2 linked regions of the Schizosaccharomyces pombe genome follow. Changing the gene in region 2 together with the main gene of any one other region gives a genetic interaction. Each region holds a gene or a part of one and is shown on either strand. Other genes may lie near its edges. The genes, in order: mog1 and spi1.

Evidence for each region.
Region 1: of spi1 (region 2) and mog1, a mutation in one rescues a mutant of the other (synthetic rescue), as found in Schizosaccharomyces pombe (2 studies listed by BioGRID, with this or other methods).

The regions. Positions count from the first base shown.
Region 1 is NC_003421.2:2,245,875-2,255,054, forward strand, and holds mog1 (Ran GTPase-binding protein Mog1), read right to left. Parts: upstream 2,332-9,180; 5' UTR 2,291-2,331; coding exon 1,718-2,290; 3' UTR 1,487-1,717; downstream 1-1,486. Other genes in the region: Golgi rhomboid protease Rbd2, read left to right, coding at 86-251, 298-574, 729-1,041; cell wall and secondary septum 1,6 branched 1,3-beta-glucan synthase catalytic subunit Bgs4, read right to left, coding at 3,405-9,180. UniProt on the Schizosaccharomyces pombe protein: Involved in the Ran-GTPase system for nuclear protein import and poly(A)+ mRNA export. Required for mitosis-to-interphase transition.
Region 2 is NC_003423.3:4,382,314-4,391,957, reverse strand, and holds spi1 (Ran GTPase Spi1), read left to right. Parts: upstream 1-4,596; 5' UTR 4,597-4,641; coding exon 4,642-4,767; exon of another isoform or gene 4,768-4,952; coding exon 4,953-5,139; intron 5,140-5,242; exon of another isoform or gene 5,243-5,273; coding exon 5,274-5,611; 3' UTR 5,612-5,809; downstream 5,810-9,644. Other genes in the region: pob1 (Boi family protein), read left to right, coding at 805-936, 1,132-3,615; U2 snRNP-associated protein Uap2, read left to right, coding at 6,401-6,508, 6,571-7,142, 7,254-7,677; chr4 (SEL1/TPR repeat protein1, 3-beta-glucan synthase regulatory factor Chf3/Chr4), read left to right, coding at 8,417-9,644. UniProt on the Schizosaccharomyces pombe protein: GTP-binding protein involved in nucleocytoplasmic transport. Required for the import of protein into the nucleus and also for RNA export.

The sequences.
Region 1 (9,180 bases), on a different chromosome or scaffold from region 2:
CAGATCGTATTTCAGTCCCCTTTGAACTAATTTTGAAAAATTTATTAAATCAAAATTGTACGGATATTAAATTAGTAGCTTCTCGATGATTTTCATGATTCTAGGACGATCAAAGGAGTTCATTCTGAAATTACCGATATGGACGCAAATAATAACTTATATCGCCATTCTGGTGTATGCACTTTCCTTCTTTGGAATATCCACGGGGGTTCTGTCTCTTAGCTGGATAGGATTGTTGCAAAAAAGGCAGCGTAAGTTAAAATTCCTTGGTACTTTAATTAATAACGGAGAGAGTAGTGTATGAAATTATAACTTATGTAACTCTTCATCTTTCAATGTTGCATATTGTATTTAACTTTGTATCCCTGTTGCCAGCAATGTCTCAATTTGAAAAGAAGCAAGGCACTTTGGCGTGCATTTTGGTGACGGTCATTCCTTACACTCTTTTCCCGGGTATTATGCATTTAATTGTCTACCATTTTTTCTTGAGAAAAGATTACGTTTCTATTGCTGGACTTAGTGGATGGGCTTTTGCTTTTATCTCTGCTTCCTGTGTTCACTCTCCACAACGATTGTAAGCATTTCTTATAATTATGGTTGCAGATGCATACTTCCACACGTCTTCTTTCCTCACAATGTTAAGAAACAACCTGGTTTGTATGATTTTTTGCAAACGTCGAACCTCTCTTGTCTTTTAAATGATGGCGGTTTATTAACTTATTTTTTAGAATCAGCTTTTTTAATCTTTTCAGCATTCCTGCATATTGTTTTCCTATTATTTACCTAATTATGACTACCATATTGGTTCCAAAAGCTAGCTTTATCGGGCATGCATCCGGAGCTGTTATGGGGTATTGTACTCCTTTCATGCTTGGTTCTATCCCCTTAAAAAGCTGGGCTCAAAATGTGGACCCAATCTTCCAGTCTTGGGTAAAAAACTATCACTCTTTTGATCAACTGTCGCATGCTCAACTCCCCATTGCGGAACCTCTGTCGACCTTTTCTTCTTTCCCCGGAAAAGGAACCCGTCTTGGGGGATGAACTTTCTGTCTTTTACTTCTTTTCTGTTCTTCTTCGTATGATGATATCCTAAATGTTTGTTTTCTTTATTGCAAAGGGTGGAAAAGCTCCTCTCAATGAAGAGATCTTCTATCTTTTGGTAATTCTTATTCAGTATTTTCTAGTCAGTCGTTTACAGGTTTCAATCATAAAGATTGTTTCATTCGCTATATTTGTTCTTTACTTGCACGGAGTTAGGGACAATTAGAAAGTATTTTAATGTTTAATAATTCTTTATGATTAACTTGTTTTAATCACCACTGTCCTACAGCGGCAGTGTAAAGGACAAAAGCTGTACAATCAAAACACCTTGAAATTGTAATTTCCGTTATTCTTTGGAAACTAGCGTTTTACGTTGTACTCTCAAATCATAAAACATTAAACTGTAAAGACACAGTGAAACTTATACTATTAACAATGGAAGAATGGGAAAATTAAAATAATAGCAGAAAAAGTGAAAACCATTGCTAATCGGTTATCAAGTATCAGATGTTTTTATTAAAACCCTTCATACAAGTTGGAATAACCGGTTTTTATAAATAAGAGAAACAATTCCTTTCGGATAAAGAAAAATAAAACTTGAAAAGTATTTCCCTAGATGAAAATCTTAATTAAGTGTTGTGGGCTAGTTAATTTGCTTGCCTATGTCCATCATCCTTTAAGCAAATACTGTTTTATCGACAAGTACAAGAGATCGAGTAACTCGCTGTATTGTTTCGAGAGCAGCGCGAACGATGCTTTGATCAGAAGGGGGAATGTTTTCAACAGAAGAGGGAACTGAGGAAGTGTTAGGTAAAGGAGCATTTACGGAGATTACGATATCTGTTTGAAAGTCAATCAAAGTTATCACATTCACGAAGATTGCCACATTGGTAGCGGATTCAGGATTTCGCTTTCCTTTTTCAAGGACCCTCTGACAACCTTGTACAGAAGATCCACTAGCCTTTTCGCTTCTCATGCCCTCAAAGTCGTCTTCACCAAGACTTTTGTCTCTCCAAATTACTCTTTGAGATGCATCATTATCGAATGCAATGCTATTGAAATGGTAAGCTGCCACACTTCCATCAAATGGCTTCTCAATTTTTTCCAAAAGCTCAATGATCACTGTTAGGTTTTCCTTGGAATCTTGCAAAAACACCTCTTGGTTGTCAGGAATCTGACGCAAAACGCTAGCATCGAGAAATTTAGGAGGGAAATCAGCACAAAGAGCCCCACCGAATAGCTGTACCATTACTATAAAAATATAAAAACCTAATAGATTTGTTTGTCTCAAGAACCAGATTGGTATTCGAACCACAAAAGGATTCTTTCCTATTTTCACTCCATTTCATTCGACTGCGGTAACAAGTTAGTGCGTGTTATTTTATGTTTCATTATTATATTTATCGCTAGTAAAACGCTTTAAATGAGCCTAGATTCAATTTTCAATATTTACGCACTGCACGGTAACTACTAAACTGATTTAAAATTAAAATAAAAAGAAATTCAAATTGATGATTTTTAATGAAAATGATATGTTAAAAATAAAATTTTGTACACATATATAGTTTCTAATATCGTTTTGACAACTAGTATATCAAATGGATGAAAGGACGCTCGTAATCTTGTAATCATGAGTCCATTCAGATATCCATAACTAATACAAGGATAGGGCGTCTGATAACTTTTACGATTAAGTTGATTAGTTGTTCAGCCTTCCACTTGTGTGATACAAAAGAGAAATGGAATTGCACACTAGAGTGGTTATTTCAAACTTTCTATTGATCTGAAAAACCTAAATTAAACGTTCACTAGATAATAAGTATTCAACCAAAAGATCAATTTATGTACGGTATCATAATCTACTTCAATACTTTTACACAATTACATCACCTTATATTTTAAACAAATATCCATTAACTGACCAGCAATAATATAGGTAAAAGTTTTGTGAACCAATGGGAATTCTTATTCATTTGTATATAGATAAATGAAGAAATGTATATATATGCATAAAATCCTAGCCCATCAAACTGTAACCTGAAAAGGCTTGTAACAAAACTCATCAATCTCAAACTTGTAAATGGTGAAATAGCAAATGTAACGTAGATAGAAAGATGGTATGAGTAAAAAATGATAAACGGTTAACCCTTTAGCTTTGCTTTTATCCTTCAGAGCTCAATAACTCAAGTCGAAGAGATGGGACCAAGCACATGCTGAAATGTATGAATGAAATGAGTGTAACAAATAAAATTAATAAATTGCTGAGATACTTGACGAAAGCTCATCAGAACATCAGTGTAATATAATAGCGAACTAGCGCATCTTTTCAAATTCATTTTAAATGATTTTTCTAATAATCCCATCTAGTAAGTGGTATTGAATTCGAAATGGTATCTGTCGTACCAGAAAGAATAATTAGCAGTATAATTCGTGTCCCTTGGTTGAATGATACCGCTACCAATTGAAGAGTTAGTTTGGTTCCATCCAACAGCACCCTTGGCAACAGCCTCAGAAGCAGTTAATCCTTGGCGGATTTCTGCACCAGCTGCCAATGGAACAATAATAAGAATAAGGAATATTACCAAAATTGAAAAGTACAAGGCTGAATAACGACGAACAATACGTTTCCGCAGTCTATTCTGCTTGGTAGAGAAAATAGGAGGACGAATTTGACGACTTGGGCGCAACCAGAAAAGAAGAACTGAATGCCAACGATCAATATATGGGATACAAATCACAGGAAGCATAAAAAACAGTAATAAGTGACCCAAGAAGAAATCAGTAGCAAACAAATTAAGTTCTATGGCTTTACAGACAAATTCACGAGCAGGCAAAGTAAAGGCATGATAGCCATATCCTTTGCCATACCATTTACCACTCCACCAAGAAATATTAGCACTATCTTGTTTGACCTCACGAGATAAACATAATAGTGTTAAAATTTTGAAGATAAAACGATGAATTGCAGTAACAGCACAGAAGGCCAACACAGTCTTGGGTAATGACCATCCATCAAGGAACCAGCAGACTTCAAAAATAGCAATGAAGATGAAAATTTGGATCGTGTGGGCAATTGCAGCAAAAATAGATGGAAACTTTTTACAGCACAATCCAAAGGCTGGACCCAAACAACAAGCCATACCACCAAAGAAACCTGACATACCAAAGCCTGCTGCAATAGGAATGAGAGAGATAATAACAAGTCGCAAAATGGGATTAGTACCTGTCTTTGTGTCATGAACATATGGGCTTGGATTATTTGGATCAGTGATAAACATGGGATTTCCAGGCTGAGAATTGATAAAGAAGTAAGGGATAATGGCACCAGCAGCTAACAAGGCAGGGATTAACACATCGCTAAAGAAAACATTCGTAAACTTTGCTCGTGGAGTATCCATTGAAATTTTATCGCTTGGTTGACCTAGTACCCTACGTTTGTAACCAGTTATTCTAGTGCGGGTTAATCGACAATATCCGATCCATGAATTGGCATGAGAACGAGAATTACCTCTCGAAAGCCAGCGAATAAACTCTCTATAATCAACAAAGAAATCGTTCCAATCAAATTGATGAGGATTGAACAAAAATGGAGCAACACAAAGAGCCATGATTGACACCCACCAATAGATCAAGTGCGCAACCCAAACAGTCATAGTACCAAACAACAACATCATTAGAAATCTAGCTCCAATGTAAATTGAAGGGACTGCAAAGCGTGAATACAAGATGGAGAAAGGTAAACGAGCAGTAGCAAAACCACGACCAGTACCAATATATCTAGCACCGCCGTATGCAAGATCCGAGGTAATAGCTTGAGAGTACACTTGGCAGGTAAAAACCTCAAACAAGGGGGAGAAAGAACCAATTTGCTTGAAGAATCTTTTTGTAGCTCTCCAAACACCACGTTCAATTAATTCATGCACAGTAAGGGGAATAAACGAAATCCAAAACACAATGAAAATTGAAATAACACATCTCTTCAGCCAAGACAAAACGGGTCCCAATTGATAACAACCACGTGGAACGATACTAGTGTCGTAACTAAGCTTTTGATTACCGTTGTAATAACAAACAGTGACAACGTGATAAATTGCTCCTAAGTTGATAAGGACCACCATGAAAAGTTGAACAGAAAGCATAATAAACATATTGTTAAGATGGAAACCGGGGTGAGCAAAATAAAAAGAAAGGAAACGGTCAAGTTGAAGCTGCGTACCTAAGTAATAATACTCACGGGATAACATTTGTTCACCCATACCAGTACCAACTTTTGTGTTGAAATTCAAAATTGAGCCAAAACCTAAATCACGACCTTTACCACATTGGAAATACTCGCAATGCTTGATACGTCCACCGCGAAGCATAGCATTCATACCAGCATAAATATCTTCGTTGACGTGTAAACCTTTTTGAGCTTTAGAAACACCGCCACGTGTAGTCATAAAGATACCGTTAAGAAAATCTGGATGACCATAATGAAGTTTACCGCCAATTTGCGCAAGTGTACGAGAGAAAAGAGTACCGAATGTTTGTTCTTTGCCTGCTGCAACGTCACCCAATATACCAATGTTCTCAGAGAAAATGTATTCACGAGCACCAAGAATAGCTACAGGATGCTTATTTCTTTCACGAGCACTTTCAGAATAGGGGTTAACATTGTCGGTCTCCATTTCTTCAAACTCAGCAAGAACACTTCGAATCTTAAGGCACTCTTCAAGATAATTATCTTGATTAGCATCAATAAGTTGAATATATTCACCACGATAGAATGGTAAGCTCATGTTTTGATTGTCAGATTTACCATCACCAAGAATAGGATTACCAGACAAACGAATACGATATTTCGGACGACGACGTTCATTTTCCATAATTTCAGAGTGACCGTCAATCAAAGCAGCAAACAATTGAGGTTCCGCACCTTCTTCTTCAGGAGGATCTTCGTCAAGGTAAGCAATTTGCAAATCAGGATAAGCCCTGAGAAGAAATTCGGCATTTTCATACTCTTCCTTTGTGAACTTTGCATAACGTTGCATTGAGACAACCAACTTGAATTTTCGACGAGCCATGCGATCTAACTCCCTTTCCAAACGATCTGTGTTACCACCAAACATTTGAACGATTTCGGGGTTTTCAACACGATATAAAAGCTTGATAGCTCTGCTATAGTTCATAAAACCGCTGATAGTACGATACAACGTTTGACTTCTTAAGGAAGCCCAAATACGGGTACGTAACGTATACTCGGGCATAGCAGATTTGAAACCAATACAGTAAAAAGGAAGATCATCAACTTTACTTTTATATGTACCTTCCTTTTCAGAGACAGAATCATTTTCATATGGAGCATTTTCCTCTACCAGAATCTTAGTATCCTTCACAAAACAGTCCCATTCAACAGGATGAAGCTGTTTCAAATATTCTAAAAGGGTGACACGAGACAACTGGTCCTCTTCTCTAATGATTTCTCGCAATGATAGAAGAATTTTCTCAGCATAATGAGGAATCAATACAGTGAAAGTAGGCATGTTGTCAACAGGTACTGGTTCTGGAATGGGAGTAGCTAAAGATTGTGCAAAGAAAGAAAGACGACGCTCTGCCTCTGAATTTGCAGGGAAGAAAGTAGTGTGAACAATATTATCGTCCTGAGAGACAAAAAACGTAGGGGTTCTAAGAGTCCTACGTCCTTCTTCAGCTGGAACTTGATGATACAGAAGACGTTGTACATGATCAATGGAAAGTAAATGTTCACGATACATAGAAATGACAATCGCATTCCAAATTTGTGAAATTAAAATTTTAGGTTTGTACTTAATTTCCATGTCATTCGTGGCCAAAATTTTACCATAAATTCTTTGGGGCATACGGCTAAAGATATTTCTCCATGGTGTGAGGATCGAAATACCTAAGACGAATGATCTTAAAACAGAGAAGATAGTATTGAAAATAATATACCAAAGGTACGTATCCAAAAAGAAGAGAATCAAGTCAGTAAAATACATGATACCCAAAATGATCCTTGGTTGGACAAAACATAATCTGCTACCCGCCCAATAAATAGAGCAAAGATAAGGTCGCATGGTACTCAAAACAATAATAGGATCTCTGATAGACAAGGTAAGGAAGAAATAAGATTCAGCAAATTTGCATGTGAAAACACAGACCCAAATAATAACAGAGAGTGCTTGGTTATCAAATTTTAATGGTGCAAAATTTGAAGTGAAATACTTGTTTGCCAAGTATTTACGAGAATCTTTCACGGACAATTTTCCAAATGTACTTTGTAGAGGTACAAGAGAAAAGTAGACGTATGTAGCAATAGACATCAAAAATGCAACTACACCAACAGCGATACGTCGACCACTACGCTGTTGATGCTTACTTGAGAAACCGAAGATATAGACGATAGGAATCAAGTTAATGATAGCGATTAAAACAATGATACATAAACGCTTCCAAATGGGTTTTGATCCAGGGAAACGACGGGGGACAAAAAGATATTCACACAAAGAAGCAGCAGCCATGATAATACAAGAAACAACAGAGGTACAAGCAACAGCAGCCCATTGGGAAGCACCTGTTGGCTTGGGACCATCGCGCTGATGGAAAGGTTTTGTGTAAAGAGTAGGAGAGTTGAAAGCAGTAAAATACCAAAACATACCAAAGTGGATGACCCAAATACGATTGAAATTGGTAATAAGATGAAACCAAGAACGGGATTCATAATAAGTTTTATAAAAAGCACGATTCCATTGAACTTCTGGAAGCCTATGAAAACGCTCAGAAGCAGGAATATCAATAAGACGAGTGCCGTCTTCAAAAATAAGACGTGCTATACCCTCAGCATGCCAGAAAAGTTGGTTAATATCATCGTATCCAATTAACTGGTCATGTGGACGTTCCCGACGTACATATTTCCCATTGATAATTTCAAACTGCTGATCGTGCATATATTGGTAGAGTGGGGAAACAATATTATCCAAGTAATATCCTTCAGGAACTGGTTCAGTGACGTTTTGTGCCTCAGGTGAAATAATATAATCGTAAGCACATTTGAAAAGGAAGGCTATTACCTCAGGCATGAAACGAACATTGTTTGCCTCACCCCACAACAAAAGCCACAATGCAATTTGTTGAGCACGCTCGAATTGAGTCATTGAGCGCATGTGAGATCTCCAACGATATTCGGCGGATTCTAAAGAATCATCGGTATTAACATCAATGTATTCGTCTTCCGCCTCCTCGGGTTGCTCCTTTTTCTTCTTGCGCTTGAAGCGAGACTTCCTTGGAGGCTTAACAACTTTAGGGGCTTTTTTGTTTCGAGAAAAGAACTTTCCTTTCTCTTTGATAGAAGTAACTTTACCACCATAAATGCCAACATTAGCAAGACCGACTGCATCTTCCCGATCCATCTGAGAAGCAAAATACCATTTTTTATAGTTAGCAATATCACTACCAATATAATCGGCATGAAGCGTAAGCAGTGCTTGATCTGGAGTCATGCGAGAAGCACGAGAATCTAAAAGACACATAAAAAAATCATACATATTACGCATGGAATCGCGTTGGAAACCCAATTTATTGGTTAGATCAATGAATATGTCTTCAATCTCTTCCTTAGTTAAAGGGAGTTCGTTTTCAGGAGTCCAGGCAGGATAAGGCTCACGATTTGTGAGATTAGCGCTATCGGCATAGAATGAACCACTATCGCCATCCAATGGGGTACCTGAGCCCGAATTACCAACAAAAGAAGAGTTGCTAAAATCATACGGACTGCTACCGTAAGGCACACTGTTGTAGACGTTAGCCAACGAATCGGAACTAGGATCATAAGCGTTGTATCTACCATCGCCTCTCAAATTGTAAAAATTGTTGGCATCTGAGGGCTGAGCATTGTAATCTGAATACTCAGACTCGTATTCATCTGAAGGACGAGTAAATTTTCCTTTTTCAGTGGAATATTGATTGATACCTGAAGAGGCGGTGTCGACAGGAGTGTATTCATCTCCATAACTTTCAGTTACACCAGTAGGGTAATCATACCCATTGTAACCCTCTCCATACATAGAATCGTAGTCAGCCTGATCCAAAAACTCCTCATTGGAATACGCATCAGCAGGCTGGCGTTGGTATGCATTTTGG
Region 2 (9,644 bases):
TGCAATTATTAGATCGTAAAGGGTATAGAATTCTGTCTGCGAGGGATGCTGTTAAATAATCATGCATTCAGATAGCTAATGATTCTTATTAAGCAAAATCATATAGTGGACTGTTGATATCCCAGGAATATGGTCAAATACGAGTTTAGCTCATTTTTTATTTTAGTATTGTGAAATATTAGCGAAGTTATCCAATAATTACCTTCAACCGTAGACGGACCTTGTATAAATAATAAGTTACCTGGTTAATACTCGATCGCATTTCCATAATACCTTTGTGGTAGATCAAGTCAATCGACCTCATTACACACGTGAATAAATAAATTAGATACATGTATTATAGTAACTATGCAATTGTCACCCTCATCGTTATACTAAGCGTATTTCAATGGAAACGTAAGCATAATCACAATTCTTAGTTCTTTGGTCCTTCATTTATTCGTTAATATACGAAGATGAGACATTCTATCCTTTGCCTTCAAACGTACCGACATGTATATTAGAAGAAATAAATAAAACACCTATTCAACACCTAATACTACTATTACCCCCACGTAAGTACTGGTTAAACCATGACTAGGTCAAAACACATTCTGCAACACTCTCCTAATGTAATATAACAGACTTGCAGATTTCAAAAAGCAAAGCCCCCACGAAGGTCGTCTTTCCCCACATAGATTATTATCGTTAAAGTGGGCTAAGCCAAACACGGTAAACACTGTTTTGCCAGCCATCAAGATTTAAGCCTTCGATTACAACACCGCATAACCACATAGCTGTGTTTTTTCTGCTTTTACCACAACTATGGCAAGTCAGCGGTTCGTGATTGCTTTGCATTCCTTTCCGGGGAAGAGTAGTGATGAACTTCCGTTGGTTGAAGGTCGGAAGTATCTGTTGATAAAGATGGATGAAGAATTTGGTGATGGTTGGTGGGAAGTAAGTATATAACTTCGAAGTCAAAATCCTATTATTTTTATTCCTGGTATATTTTATAATTTGAAGGATTCTTGATGCCTGCTTTGTACAGTTTTCCAATCCACATAAAGATGCAAACACTATATGTCAAAGTTGCATGCCCTTAGGATTGTGAAACCTTGATATATTTTTATCATACTAACTAAGTTTTAATAGGGAGAAGATGAACAGGGAAATAGGGGTATTTTTCCTGCTTCGCACGTAGAATTGATATCTGATGAGAGGTCTGACTCAAGTGATTCAAGAAGAGGCAAAGAAGATTTCTCCATTTCTACCGCGGAAGTCACAAGATCCTCTTTATCAAGCAGCCGGTCAACTTCTTCACGATCGGACAAGGACAGTGAAAAGTTGTATTCGAATAATTCCTTGTCTTCAAGTCACTCATCAATCTTAAACGGCCCCCTTGATAGTCTTTCGAAACCTTCGGTCCCTAGTAATTTTAACTCAATGTTTCCATCTTCTAAACAAGAAGGCCCTTCCCCTTTGTTGGATAACCAACCTTCCTCAGATCTATCAAACTTCAACACTATTGATGCCGATTATAATAATGCTTCTGCTTCTACTTCTGCTCCTGCTACTTCAGCAAGCTTGAAAAAGGTTTTGTCAGCTGAGGATTCCGTTAGAGAAACTATTACAGATATTGAAACAGCTTTACAGAATATGTCAACTTCAGCATCTCGTACTCCAAATGACAGTTCACCTTTGCCCTATATTGAAAATCGACCTGCATCCTCTCTTGCTGTTTCCGAAAAAATTCAAAATGTTCCTAACTGGTCTACGGAAGAGGTAGTTGAATGGCTTATGAATGCCGGCCTTGGATCAGTAGCTCCTAATTTTGCGGAGAATGAAATAACCGGTGAAATTTTATTAGGCTTAGATTCCAATGTTTTGAAAGAACTTAACATTACTTCTTTTGGAAAACGTTTTGAAGTTTTACGAAAGATCCAACAATTAAAAGATTCATACGAACAATCTTTATATGAAGAATATCCGCAGTTTGCTGAGCCTATTTCTGTTAGCCAAAGTTCTGATTCCTCCTCTTCTATTCCAAAAAAATCTAATGATGAAGCCGGCGGTTCACCATCAAAATCCAGTCCAACTCGTCCGGGATTTAACGATTATGTTAATCGTCCGACTAGTGTGATGCCTTCTTTGTCAAATATGATTGTTTCACCTGATTTGGACTCATCTCCATCTACCGATTGGAACCAATACGTGATTCCTCCTTTAGCCACACCAAGTTCGCGCAATTCTAAGTCTACGCAATCTGCGGTCCCTGAAAATGTATCTCGTTTTGATTCTAACGAACCTTCGGCCACATCACCGATATTAAAACGTTCATCCCCTACGGACTCAATTTCTCAAAATAGCGGTTTACCTTCTCGTCTTACTGAGCCCATCTCTTCTCCTTCTACCAGTAGCATTGATGTTGATAAGGAAGGAACTTCATTTCCTGGTTTACCTTATCATTCATCTAAGGGCAACTTGTATGCTCCTCAACCATCTTCTAACGTTCCTACTAAATTTACGGGCGGTGCATCGGAATCTTCTTCCGTACCTCCTAGACCTATTCCAAGTGCTATGAAAGGAAAAGCACCAGCTTCAGCTATATCTATCGAAGCTTTGGAAGAATTGGATCCTCCAAAGATTACTACTATTGATGGTGAAAGTCCTTCATCGATAAGTTCTCGACTCCCTAGTAGCAATCTCGAACAAGGGAGTTCAAGTTCTGTTACTAAGTCACCTGAATCAATGCCAGACCCATCAGCAAAAGCATCATCGCCTGTCACAAGCAAAGGGGTGTCCATAAACGAAAAATCCGCTGTTAATAATTATGCCACTCCTCTTTCAAAACCTCAACCCAAAGATACGAAGGGCTCAAAATTAGGAAATACTTTTGTTGCTCCATCTCCGGCTGCTTCCTTACCCGCTTCACCTCCAGTCGGCACTGAGTTAAAGACTCGTCCAACCCTTCGTTCTGTTGCTTCATCACCATTAAATAAAGAGCCAATAGGTAAACGAAAGTCGAAACGTGATATTTTTGGGAGACAAAAGGTTTTACCTACTGGAATTAGTGAAGGATTAAGTAATATACCTGCCAAAGAAGCAATTAAAACGGCGGACTGTCATGGTTGGATGCGGAAACGTAGTGATCGTTACGGTGTTTGGAAGTCTAGATACTTTGTATTAAAAGGAACAAGGCTTTCTTATTACCATTCATTAAATGATGCTTCAGAAAAAGGCCTAATTGATATGACTTCTCATCGTGTTACGAAAACCGATGACATTGTTCTAAGTGGAGGCAAAACTGCTATCAAGTTAATTCCACCTGCTCCAGGTGCCGCTAAAGCAGCAGTTATGTTCACTCCACCAAAGGTTCATTATTTTACTTGTGAAAATAATGAAGAATTACATCGTTGGTCTTCGGCTTTTCTCAAGGCTACTGTGGAACGCGATATGTCGGTACCTGTTTTGACAACGTCGAGAATGCCTACCATTTCACTTAGCAAAGCTAAAGAACTTCGTACTAGGCCTCCTTCTCTATTAATTGATGATGAAAATGAAGCAAATCTCACTTCTTCGATTGGATTAAAGAAGAATGCAAAACAAAAGAATAAGAAATCAAGCAAGCAAAAATAAATACCGACACTCCTCAAAATCCACAAAAGCAAAGTGCAACACATTCCAATTCTAAAACCTGCGCAACAGACCCTGTTCTTAGTATCTGGTTTTCCTTAATCTATTTTCAAACTAAATATCCCTTCAAAATTGAAAACATAGCTAATATGTTTGAATTTTAAATTCGTTGATGCTTTTACTGCGGACATATTTGACACCAATTTAAGAATTAACCGGGCATATTTGATACGCTCATTTCGATTCTGGTTTACCGACATTTACTAGCGGAAGCTATAGTATCTTCATCATGCACATATGGCTTATTTAACGTTGAATTATTTGCTTTTATCTTTTATTGCATAAATTTTTAAAAGCAAATGCATCATTCTATTAATTCAGCATTTTTTTACTGATAATTTTCATTTGTTTGTCGACTTCCTACCACTTTCGTTTGTTTTATTTTTAATCTTTATTTCGATCATTTCGATCCAGCTGAGTCCACGCTGGTAGCGGACCTGGATCATTGCAGAATTCGTAGGCCTTTTACTAGTGATACTAATATAGCTAATGAAAATTTAGAATGTTTGTTTTCTATGTATGGGCATTCCTGGCATTCCTTGGATTAGCAAATACGTTTTCTTGGCTGCGGTTTTTTATCTTTACATGCAATCAAAACCGTGTAGTGACGTCCAAAAAGTAAGCATTGGCTGCTTGTAAGTTGTGTATAAACCCAGAATGTATAAGCAAGTACGCACAAATGTAGCTTTTCGTAGAAGCAATTCTTTTTTGAAATTTCAAAAACGACACTATATCCATTTTTTGGCGATCAACTTCAATAAGAGCAATAGTCAAACTCGTTAAACAATTCGTTAAATCGGCATTAAAAAACTATACCATACACTCCCTTTTCTGTTAAATTCCAATCGACTATCAGGGTTAGGGTTTTGTTATACCCAGGTCTTTTATTCATATAAAAATTACGCACCACTAAAATTTTCCTTTAACCAAACTCTCAGTTAGTTTAGGTGCAACAGAGAAAAGTTTAGTATGGCTCAACCACAAAACGTTCCTACCTTTAAGCTTGTACTTGTCGGCGATGGTGGTACCGGTAAGACCACGTTCGTCAAGCGTCATTTGACTGGTGAATTTGAAAAGAAGTATATTGCAACTTTGGTACGTTTTATGATTTTACTTTATTAGAACAGTTTTTGTATACCGGAAACGATGCCTAGTATCGTAAATAAATGCCATCTTTTTATGAGACATACAGTTATCTGTACTCGTGCATCATCGGTTTTCAGTTACTCTTTTTATGCTTAGATCTTTCGTTTAGAAACAACAGTCTAACATATTTTTAGGGTGTTGAGGTCCATCCTTTGCATTTTCATACTAATTTTGGTGAAATTTGCTTTAATGTTTGGGATACCGCTGGTCAAGAAAAGTTAGGTGGCCTTCGTGATGGTTACTATATTCAAGGTCAATGTGGTATTATCATGTTTGATGTTACTTCCCGTATTACCTATAAGAATGTTCCCCATTGGTGGCGTAAGTGATATTTAAGCAAAAAAAAGCTTTAAATGTTTTTTTTGATACTCATAGACCGCTAGATTTAATGGTTATAAGTATATTGACATTAGCTTTTTTTGACTACTTTAATGAACATTACTAATCGAATGCAGGTGATCTTGTCCGTGTTTGTGAAAACATTCCCATTGTTCTTTGCGGTAACAAAGTTGATGTTAAAGAGCGTAAAGTCAAGGCTAAGGCTATCACTTTCCATCGCAAGAAAAACCTTCAATACTACGACATCTCCGCCAAGTCCAATTATAACTTCGAAAAACCTTTCTTATGGCTTGCCCGTAAGCTGGTTGGCAACCCCAACCTGGAGTTTGTTGCTTCGCCTGCCCTTGCTCCTCCTGAGGTTCAAGTCGATCAGCAATTGTTAGCTCAATACCAACAGGAAATGAACGAGGCTGCTGCTATGCCTTTACCTGATGAGGATGACGCTGATTTGTAAACCAATTTTTTATATCTTTTTTACGTCTCCCTTGCAGATAAAATACATTGGTTCCTGGCCGATGGGACGGTTCCGGTTTCGAAAAAATACCCCTTCTTTTCCTTAAATAAAACTTATTAGTATTTTTCCACTCGAAAGAATTTATTCATTAAGCTATTCCGTTGGGGTTATTTGAAATAGATTATGTTTAGTTTGATATGTTCATATCACTATGTGTGGTAAAAAGTGTAAATCGTATTTTTTAAGTTAATTGTAATTTTGGTAACTTCATTTTTAGAAATACACATTTGTTGCCTGTATGTTTTGTTTCAGTTTAAAATTGATATTGTGTGCGACTGATGGACAAGTTCTGGCATACCAAGGAAGATTTTTTGAGGACTAGGATTAGTAAAGAAACTATGCCTGCCTATTTATTGATTTATCGTCTTAGTTTTTTTGGTAGTTTTGGCATTCAACAACATAGGTATGCGAGTTGCGTGCTGTTAGCCGTAGGCAAATCCCTAAATTGAAAACTAAACTAATACTTTTGACTTGTGTAACGATAGGTTACAAAGTGTATGCGTTAATGCGAAAATTCAATGCTACTGGCATTAATAAGAATATTGACAATCAATACATTAATTGTTTACCTCAATCTCTAAAGAAGCTGTATTTTGTTCCATACATATTATACAAAGCAGTGACATTACTCTACATATATATTGTGGCGTTGTTAGAAATCGTTATGTGAAAACAATCGAGGTCATTTTGAACTTTACCAAGTTATAATCGTTTTAGAGCTCGTAGATTATGTCCAGCCAGCCTTTTTGGGATGAAAGAATACATCGTTGGAGATGTTTAGGATCAGAAGGAAACGAATTAATATATATTGATGAAGAACAAACTTGGAAAGATTATGTACGATGAACAATTTTGCTTTACCATTCCATTGAGACAAACATGACCCCTAACTAAACAAGGATCCTAATAGCTTAAAAATGAATAAGGCCGGCTCAACTGGTGCAGAAGTCAGTGATGTTACGGCGGAGGCTACCGAAGGAAAGGAATCTAGCAACGGCGAAGACCGCCATACCAAACGATTGTACGAATCGACATCGGCTGAAGGGTATCCTTCAGGTTCTCGAAATAAAAAGTCAAAGTCCGAAAATTCAGAAGCCTCGCCCGCCCCAGTAATAAACAAAGCGGTTTACATTCAAGGACTACCACTGGATGTCACGGTTGACGAAATTGAAGAAGTATTCAAGAAATGCGGTGTTATTGCTAAGAATATTGACAATGGTACGCCGAGAATCAAAATCTACCGGACAGAGGATGGAACTCCTAAAGGTGATGCTTTAATTGTATTTTTCCGCAGCGAAAGTGTTGAGCTTGCAGAGCAATTATTTGATGACACTGAATTTCGTTATGGATCTGGGCAAAAGATGCGTGTCCAGAAAGCTAATATTGATTACAAAAAGGAGAAAACGGTGAACAAAGACGTAGGTGGTGCCTTAAAAAAAAAGGCACTTCGTCTCCGACAACAACAAATGCAGTATGTTATGTAATGAATACTCATAAAAAATTTCTCTTTTATTTATTGTTGCATACCAACTTTTTTCTTTCTCGGTTTTATCTTTTAATTTATAGAGCTAACAGGTTTTAGGCAAATTTCATCCTGGGATGATGTTGACGAAGAGGTTGATGATAAAAGAAAAAAACGATTTAATAAAATAGTAGTTTTAAAGCATATTTTTACGCTGGAAGAACTCGATAAAACACCTGAACTTTTAATTGACTTAAAAGACGATATCACTGAGGAAGCTGAGAAATGTGGACGAGTTACTAATGTGGTTTTGTACGACAAGGAGCCTGATGGAGTAGTAACTGTACGGTTTTCAAACAATGAAGAAGCTGAAGCTTGCGTAAGGTTAATGCAAGGCCGATATTTTGATGGCCGGGTAGTGGAAGCTTCAATTTACGATGGAAAGGTTCGGTTCCAGAAAAGTGGAAAGCATACATTAGATGATGAAGAGGACGAGGAAAAACGTTTGGAAAAATTCGCAGATTGGTTAGAAAATTCTAACTGAAATTTTTTAAATTTCGTAACTATGTCTCAGTTGGCACATTATCCATTTATACGTGTGTTTTTCTTGACCTCTTTATTTATTTATTTTTTTCTTCTTTTAAAATAAAATTATCCCTTGTTTAAAGTGACAATGAGCTGGCGAAATATCAATTGTTTTCAATTTCGGATAAAAGAATAAGCTAACAGTTTTATCAGTCATAATAAGGCATTCTTCCTATCATAATTGAATGGTCCCTAATTTTTGTAACACATACAAATACTCTATGAATAGCTAGTTTACATCCTCATGTATAAAGCAGTTTTATTTAGACGTGCATCAATATAAGTTTGTTATTATGCTATGCGCTATTAGTTATTCCTGATATTCATTCATGTTGATTATCGTTGCACATTACTACTACTATCTTTTCTGTTCTTTCCTCTACACCTTGTTACCCCGATTTATGCTGGTTAGGGTATACTGCGCTGGTCAAGGAAGTAACCGTTCCAATGTGTGTATGTGTGTATATTGACAACTCCCACTACCCTTTCATTATAAGATCTACTTTTAGAACGCGATTGAGGAGGAAAAGGATCTAAGTTATAGACATTATTTGTTTTCAAATCTTCCTCTAGTGAAAGTTGCTAGGTTCGCTACAAATCTGTTTTAAAGTTTATAAAGTGGTTAGCTACTCTCTTTTTTTTCACGTTACACGAGTTTTCTTTTGCTAATCTGACTATTCTCCTAAAAAGTCCATTAAATGGATTCAGCATCTTCTATGCGAAATAGAAGCCCCTTGGGTGTGCCGGAATTTTCATATTCTTCTCAGTCGGTGAACAATATACGCGGTATCAAAAGCAGAAACAGGTCCTCAATTGGGCATTCTATAACCGATCCTCAAGTTGCCTCACGAATAAATGCTTTTTACCTCTCCAATGTTCAATCTAGCATTCCCTTTGAAACAGATGCCATTGGACCTGCCTACGGTATTGGCGACATGATTGCACCGGAAATGAACGATACACAAAGTTTGAGTGCCTCTGTAACCAACATGAAAAAAGAGAATTTTTATTCACGACCGAACGTATCCTCTTCTAGCATTCTTTTAACTATTAAACGCGCTACCAGCTCACAAGAAACAAAACGGGACCGTCCTTTGCCGAATATTAGAAACTCAGCTCCTTCAGCAACTCGCTCTCATTCTACACCATGTGTTGCCCCAGGATATTTACGTACATCTAATGAAGCCGCGGACGTTGTATTCCCTCATGAAGAGGCACATTTTTCTAATCACAACCCTAAACCGAATAACGGATCCCCATTGCAAAAGCAGGTAGTAGCGGATTTACCTTTTCCCTTACCAGTATCCGATGAAGAGCAACTTGATTGGATTCGCGCCAATGAAGACCTTGTACATTCTCAAGACATTGACGAAGCATTGGAGTGGGCAGAATACGTCCTTCGATTTACCCAATCTCATCTACCATATCTTCAAACATATGAAAGCGAAAACCTCCATGAAATTAATTATTTGGAATCAATGTGCGAAAACGCGCTCTATAAAATTCGAGAATTTTCAGAGTTAGAGAATGCTAAAGCAATGTATTTCGATGCCTATGTCTACGAGACAGGTGCCTTTGATGTAGAGTCTGATATCCAGCGGGCCTGGGACTTATACTCTTCTTCTGCTAATCTAGGCTATACACGAAGCTTGTACAGATTAGGAGTGTTATTGGAAGATCAAGGTAACCTAGAAGAAGCCGTCGAATATTTTGAAAAGGGTGTTTCAGAGAATGACAGTGCATGCTGTTGGAGACTATCGCTTTTAATTTTGGAAGGGATGTTGGACGGTGTTGGAGAATATGCACACAGGCACGCTAGTGGACTAGAACTTCTCGAACGAAGCGCAGATACAGCTGATGCCGATGTTCCATCCGGACTGTATAGTCATGCTTTGGTGAATCTTCATGAACATCCTGGATTAGTAG